2 linked regions of the Callithrix jacchus genome follow. The protein of the gene in region 2 purifies or fractionates together with the protein of the main gene of each other region. This does not show direct contact. Links are inferred from orthologs where the notes say so. Each region holds a gene or a part of one and is shown on either strand. Other genes may lie near its edges.

Evidence for each region. The genes of interacting proteins can lie anywhere in the genome.
Region 1: the proteins of TXNIP (region 2) and NLRP3 purify together in Homo sapiens (affinity purification with western blotting, with the first as the bait; 4 studies listed by BioGRID). This does not show direct contact. The link is inferred for Callithrix jacchus from reciprocal best matches to the Homo sapiens genes TXNIP and NLRP3.

Annotation. Positions count from the first base shown.
Region 1 is NC_133520.1:38,247,541-38,251,188, forward strand, and holds part of NLRP3 (NACHT, LRR and PYD domains-containing protein 3), read right to left. Parts: coding exon 2,762-3,648; intron 1-2,761. UniProt on the Homo sapiens protein: Sensor component of the NLRP3 inflammasome, which mediates inflammasome activation in response to defects in membrane integrity, leading to secretion of inflammatory cytokines IL1B and IL18 and pyroptosis.
Region 2 is NC_133519.1:8,436,124-8,439,871, reverse strand, and holds the start of TXNIP (thioredoxin-interacting protein), read left to right. Parts: upstream 1-1,408; 5' UTR 1,409-1,429; coding exon 1,430-1,971; intron 1,972-2,074; coding exon 2,075-2,222; intron 2,223-2,333; coding exon 2,334-2,436; intron 2,437-2,566; coding exon 2,567-2,823; intron 2,824-2,927; coding exon 2,928-3,084; intron 3,085-3,191; coding exon 3,192-3,343; intron 3,344-3,472; coding exon 3,473-3,508; 3' UTR 3,509-3,748. UniProt on the Homo sapiens protein: May act as an oxidative stress mediator by inhibiting thioredoxin activity or by limiting its bioavailability.

The DNA.
Region 1 (3,648 bases), on a different chromosome or scaffold from region 2:
GACTCAAACATGCAGTCACGTTTTGCTTTTGTTTTTCCGTAGAGAAGGGCTCTCACTTTGCAGCTCAGGCAGGACTTGAACTCCCGGCTTCAAGCAATCCCCCTGTCTTGGCTTGCCAAAAACTTAGGGTGACAGGCATGAGCCACTGCAGCACACATGCAGTTACCTTTGAATCACCTGTAGCTCTCATCCAGATGCAAAGTCTTCCTCCCCGGGTCTACAACTGGGTCTACAATTTTGCGTTTCTAACAGATGCCCAGGCTTCTGGTTCTCAGAAAGTGCTGAGACACAGCAAGTTCCTGCCATCAGAGGGAGAAGGCAGCTGCCATCTAGAGGGACGGGTGCTGAGCCCCTACCAGGGCTCCAGTCAGAATCTGTCCTCAGAGGTAGGCAGCTGCCATCTACATTTTTTTTTTTTTTTGAGACAAGTCTCACTCTGTCATCAGGCTGGAGCGCAGTGGCGTGATCTTAGCTCACTGAAACCTCCGCCTCCCGGGTTCAATAGTTCTCCCGCCTCAGCTTCCCAAGTAGCTGGGACTACAGGTGCTTGCCACCACAGCCAGCTAATTTTTGTATTTTTAGTAGAGACGGGGTTTCACCATGTTGGCCTGGCTGGTCCGCCCCGGTCAGACTCCCAAAGTGCTGGGATTAGAGGCATGAGCCACCCCGCCTGGCCAGCAGCTGCCATCTACAGGGACGGGTGCTGAGCCCCCGCCAGGGCAGCAGTGCGAGTCTGCGAGCCTTCTTCACGGGTGTGTGACCCGGACATGGCCTCCCTGACCCTCCACCTCACTTCTAATAAGTAGGTCTGCCTGCTTTTCTCTTATTCCTCTTCTCCCGTTTCTGTGGTCTGAATGTTTGTGTGCCCCAAATCCATATGCTGAAACCCCAACCCTCAACGTGACGTATGAGGAGCTGGGGCCTTTGAGATGTGATGAAGTTATGAGGGTGGAGCCCTCGCGGTGGGATCGCTGCCCTGACAAAAGGGACCCCAGAGAGCTGCCTCACCCTCCACCTGTGAGGACGCAGCAAGAAAGTGCCATCTGCGGCCGCCCCTCAGTGTCCCTCCCCTCTCCCCTGTGGGGCTGCCTTCTAGAGGGACGGGTGCTGAGCCTCCTACCCTGCTTCCTCACCGGTGTGTGATGTTGATGAGGTCTCACCAAACACATCTGCCGGTGCTCGTCCACGGGCCTCCCGCCTCCAGAACTGTACGGTGATCATTGCTTTTTTTTGTGAGCCAAGCAGTCTACAGCATTTGGCTATGGCAGCCTGACAGATGGAGACATCTGTCTTCTTCCAGTCACTCGGAACTGCTGGCCCTGCTTTCCCACGCCTGCCCCCTCTGAATACTCTGTACCCCCAGCCTGGGCTGCCCCTGGCCTTCTCTCACTCTGTCACTCCGCCCATCCTCTGGAAGCTGGCGGAGGGGGACACCCACGCCGCAGAAGTGAACAGGTTCATCCCCTTGTGCTTTGGGTACTCTGCAAGTTCCTTGTCAGAGCCCGTGACACACACGCGCATGCACCCACACATACACGCACACGCGCGCATGAACACACACGCACACGTGCACACATACACGTGCACGCACGTGCACACGTGCGCAAACACACGCACGCAAACACGTGCACATGCACACACATACATGTGCACACATGCGCACACGCACACACACCCACACCTGTTTCCTGACTGTCCCATGACGGACCTCAAGCCCTATGAAAGGGACCTGGGTCTCAGCCTCCACTGCAGCCCTGCGAGCAGTTGGTCCTTCTGGGCCAAATGAGGACCAGGAAGGTGTCCTGGCCGGGCAGAGTCAGGGCTAGAGGAAGCTGAAGCTCACCGCTGCCAGTGGAAGGGCCTAGCCTCCTGTTTGTCTTCTCTACGGATTAAACTCACATCACAGGGTGCCCGCCTTCCTACAACCACTGTCCTTCTTAGGAGCCACTGAACAAGAAACCCAGAAGGGACACAGAAGTCAGTTGACTCAACTGCTTCACTGCACAGACTCGGCAACTGGCTTCCAACCGCCCAGCAAGTCATGAGCACACCCTAGAGCAGACACTTCTGGCGACAGCCCAGGGCAAAGCAACATGGGGGCCTGGAAGGAGCGTTTCAGCTTTTCTGCTCTGTTTCCCTTGATTCATCGCTATCGTATTTTTCCCAAGGAAACCGAGTCTCTCTCCACTGCCACCTGCACATGCTTCTCAGACTGCATTCCCGACTTGCTTGTGTGGGTCTTCAATGCCTGGATCCCTTTACTTTCTTCTCCCCGCACACATGTCCCAGCATCCCTTAAAGCCAAGTTTAAATTGCGCTTTTCTAAGAAACCTCCCCCAGCCTCCAGCTCTAAGGGCCTTCTGTCCCCTGGGCTCCTGGGACGGAGTCTGGCATTGCCCTGCCCCAGAGACATTGACTGACCATGAGGCACTAGCGCTCCAAATAGCTGACGAGCAGTTTCTTTTGGCAAGCCTTTGTAGGCAGTCCTCCAACCTCCCTCATCCCTTGTGCTAAACTAGCATTCCCAAAACATTTGTTCCTTATTTCATTGTTTCTTTGCTCACCCCATTTATCCACCTACCACAAGTCAACCTTTGCCCATGAAGGGGTGTGAAATGGGTGGTGGCGGCATCATTACACAGCTGTGGCAACTAAATTTGGAAGATAGATGAAAAGACACCAGAGGAGGCAGGTGCCAAGCAAAAGCTGGAGAGGGGGCAGAGGGCACGCTCTGCCGCCTGCTGGAGCCGAGCCTGCTTACCCGAGGGAACAGGCAGTGAGAGAGCCTGGGGGTACACACTGGGCCACGTCGAGGTGTCGGCCTTCCTTCTCCTCTTCCTCCTCCTCCTTGGGCATGTTGTGGAGAAACCCCAGGGAAAGGGACTCCACCCGATGACAGTTCTCAATGCAAAAGGAAGAAACCACGTGGTCCATTCTGGTGGAGAGATTGATCTCAATCTTGGGGAAATGGTCCATGGCCCTCTGCACAAAGTCCTCCTCCTGCATCTCGTACAAACAGTAGAACAATTCCAGCTGGCTGGGCTGGATCTGCAGCTTCTTTGCCTTGGCCTTCACCTCAATCCATTTCAGCAGCTCCAGCCTGATCTGCTGAGAGACCTTGCAACTTAATTTCTTCTCCAAGTAGGAGGTCCTCTCCTGGTTCACCAGGCCGAAGAGGAAACGCACAACGAAAATCAAATACCCCTTCTCGAATTTGCCGTAGTTTTCCAGAAGGACTGTCACGTCCCGGCTGGGAAGCGTCAAGCAACTCCCTGGAACATTCTGCATCCCTCCTTCCTTTTCCTCTTCCAGCAGGTAGTACATGGCAGCAAAGAACTCCTGGAAGGTCATGTGGATGAAGCTGTAGAGCTTCTCGCAGTCCACTTCCTTTTGGAACAGGTTCATCCTCAGGAAAGCAGACACCTCCGCCTTCTGCAGGCCGTGATTCCTGAGGTCAGACTCCTCAAAGAGGATTTTCTGGTTCCAGATCCCATCTGCAGCCAAAGAGCAGAGCCCCCAGAGGTGGGCAGAGAGGGTATGCTCCTGGCTCCCTCCTCGGGGCTGCAGCAAACTGGAGAGGAAGAAGATGTACACCGCAGTGGTAGTCTTGGATGTCTGGGCCAGGCTCTTGCCACTCTCCATCTGCTG
Region 2 (3,748 bases):
AACAGGATGTAAACACGCCCGTCCTATTTCCGTTCCAGAGAACAGAGAGAACAGAAAGAGGGTACAAGGGGGTGACGAACAGCACAGGCACGCAGCCCCAGCCCTCCCCCCAAGGGGCTGGAAGGGACATCAGTCCCACAGGTCCAATGAGGCCTGAAAGTTCTCCTTTCCTTCAGAGGTGGTGGTGTTTTTTATATTTAACAGGGATGCGGGGCAAGAGAAGGACAAAAGAGCTGTTGCTGGACAGTAACACCAACCCGCTCCACAGCCCCAAACCTAAGCGTGTTCTTGGAACCATGGAATTGTTTCTCACAGACTTGCTATTTATGAGTCAGGAATAAACAGCAGGCTCTAAAGAAATTTCACTGACCAAGACTAGGCATGAAATTCCCTCAAGCACGTATTCCTTTTACCTCCTAACACCGCTCCCAGACCAGAAACGTCCACACCCGCCCTCCGATCGCCCGTCGCCCTGGCTAGGTTTTAGGGTCAGTGGGAGCCTCCTTCCAGTGGGCTCCAGGGAAGACGCTCCGCAGCCCCCTCCTTTCCCTCCTCCCTCTCCTTCCCCCCCTCCTCCCGCTGCTACGGAGCATAACAACCATTTACCCCGCCAGGAGCACACCGTGTCCACGCGCCTCAGTGATCTCACTGATTGGTCGGGCTCCTGGTAAACAGGGACTGAGCAGCCAATGGGAGGGATGTGCACGAGGGCAGCACGAGCCTCCGGGCCAGCGCTCGCGTGGCTCTGCGGGCCCAGGCTACTATATAGAGCCGTTTCCGGCTCTTGCTTGAAACTAAGCTCCCTTTCTCTTTAGAGGAGCGTTTGTAGAGATCGGATCTCTTCTCCAGCAATTGTGGGAAAAGAAGGCTTTTTCTCTGAAATCCTTTAGTGTAACCAGCGGCGTGAAATTTTTGGAGGCCTTTTCAAAAACCTAGTAGTTAAAATTCATTTGTCTGAATCTTACTTTAAATTTAAGCTCAAACTGCTTAAGAATACCTTCATTCCTTAGGAAGAGTGAAATAATTTACTGCAAAGGAGGTTCCTCGATTTGGGGCTTTTTTTTTTTTTTTTTTATTCCACCCTCGTTCCTGACTCTTAAATCAACTGTCCCATCATGGTGATGTTCAAGAAGATCAAGTCTTTTGAGGTGGTCTTTAACGACCCTGAGAAGGTGTACGGCAGTGGTGAGAAGGTGGCTGGCCGGGTCATAGTGGAGGTGTGCGAGGTGACCCGTGTCAAAGCCGTTAGGATCCTGGCTTGCGGAGTGGCCAAAGTGCTCTGGATGCAGGGATCCCAGCAGTGCAAACAGACTTCGGAGTACCTGCGCTACGAAGACACGCTTCTTCCGGAAGACCAGCCAACAGGTAAGAGGCCCGGTTCATTGCTGGAGGGTGAAAGCTGGTAAGAGAATAGAAAGCGTAAACCCGTATGAAATGTTTTGAGTTGCTCCGTTTGCGTGGTTTGAATTACGTGTTGTTGCTTCCTTTTATCTGTTTTAATTTGCAGACATTCTCCCCCCACCCCACCCCCCAAAAAATGGGTGATTTGTATAATTTTTTATGGTGCTTGTTTCTTAAAGATGATTCTGGGGGCGTTGCCTTGGGTAAAGTCTTATGTATACATAAGTTGCTTATTATTTGCTTACCTCTGTTTGAGATGTTAAGAGGAACCGTCCTGGGTGAATCTTTAAGCATTGCAGGGCTTGGCAATTTGCTGCCCTACAAAATACACCAGACTCTCTCTTTAAGAACAATATCGGATGATTTTAAAATATGTAGGATGAAATTGGGGGTACTTCATTCAGTACGTTGCATGCCACCCAGTCATTCCTTATCACACAGATGCATTTTAAGTGTAACAGGAAGCCTAATGGTTACTCGATTTTCTTTCCCTGCAGGTGAGAATGAGATGGTGCTCATGAGACCTGGAAACAAGTATGAGTACAAGTTCGGCTTTGAGCTTCCTCAGGGGTAAGTATCAGCTAAATGCATCTTTGAACTTCTCGGTCTAAATTGTCTTGTCCTCCTGACTGTTCTTGGAGAGCATTTAAAAATCTTCGTTTTCTTGACACAGGCCTCTGGGAACATCCTACAAAGGAAAATATGGGTGTGTAGACTACTGGGTGAAGGCTTTTCTTGACCGCCCCAGCCAGCCAACTCAAGAGACAAAGAAAAACTTTGAAGTAGTGGATCTGGTGGATGTCAATACCCCTGATTTAATGGTGAGATTCATTTTAGAGAGTGTATTCTTCTGGGTCACAGGGATGATAAATCCGATGTCTTGGGCATTAGATTGAAGCATCTCAAAACGCCTTTTGTCCCCTTCTACATAGGCACCTGTGTCTGCTAAAAAGGAAAAGAAAGTTTCCTGCATGTTCATTCCTGATGGGCGGGTGTCTGTCTCGGCTCGAATTGACAGAAAAGGATTCTGTGAAGGTAAAACACTAGTGCTGATGGTAGATATCTTAACAAGAACTGGGTTTAGGGCCAAGGGCATGGGACTGGGGTAGCGGAAATGTCATTAACTGAGTATCAGTTAATAAGTTTTCATCTTTCTCATTGCTAGGTGATGAGATTTCCATCCATGCTGACTTTGAGAATACATGTTCCCGAATTGTGGTCCCCAAAGCTGCCATCGTGGCCCGCCACACTTACCTTGCCAATGGCCAAACCAAGGTGCTGACTCAGAAGTTGTCCTCAGTCAGAGGCAATCATATTATCTCAGGGACATGCGCATCATGGCGTGGCAAGAGCCTTCGGGTGCAGAAGATCAGGCCTTCTATCCTGGGCTGCAACATCCTTCGAGTTGAATATTCCTTACTGGTGAGTAGATACAGGGTGGCTTCTGCAGAGAAATTGTTCCTCTGCTACCACAGTCTTGTTTTCTCCAGATCTCTGATCTAACAAACTTCCATCTTCCTTTCTAGATCTATGTTAGCGTTCCTGGATCCAAGAAGGTCATCCTTGACCTGCCCCTGGTAATTGGCAGCAGATCAGGTCTAAGCAGCAGAACATCAAGCATGGCCAGCCGAACCAGCTCTGAGATGAGTTGGGTAGACCTGAACATCCCTGATACCCCAGAAGGTGAGCCAGACCCAATGTCTTGTTCTGGTCTACCTGGGTTTGTGAAATTGTGATGCTCCAGCATTTCTTGGGCAGGCTTCTTAATGTGGCCGTATTTTTTTTTCTAGCTCCTCCTTGCTATATGGATATCATTCCTGAAGATCACCGATTGGAGAGCCCCACCACCCCTCTGCTAGATGACGTGGATGGCTCTCAAGACAGTCCTATCTTTATGTATGCCCCTGAGTTCAAGTTCATGCCACCACCTACTTATACTGAGGTGAGAAATTGTCATCCTTTCTGTTAAATTTGTCCTAAGCCTCTATAAGAAGTTGACTTAGCAGGATTGCTAAACTGGGCTGTTGTTCTAATTCTTACCTGAACTAAACTAGTCTGTTTCTTCCTTCAGGTGGATCCCTGTATCCTCAACAACAATGTGCAGTGAGCATGTGGAAGAAAAGAAGCAGCTTTACCTACTTGTTTCTTTCTGCCTCTCTTCCTGGACTCTCACTTTTTCAGAGACTCAACCGTCTCTGCACAATGGAGTGTGGCTCCACCTCAGCCTCTGACTCCCTAACATAGCGGGGTGATCAGCAGGCAATCTCCTGGGCCTTAAAGGATGCGGACCCATCCGCAGCCAGCGCCGACGTTGTGAGACGGGGTGTTTGCTGGATGGGTTTAAAAA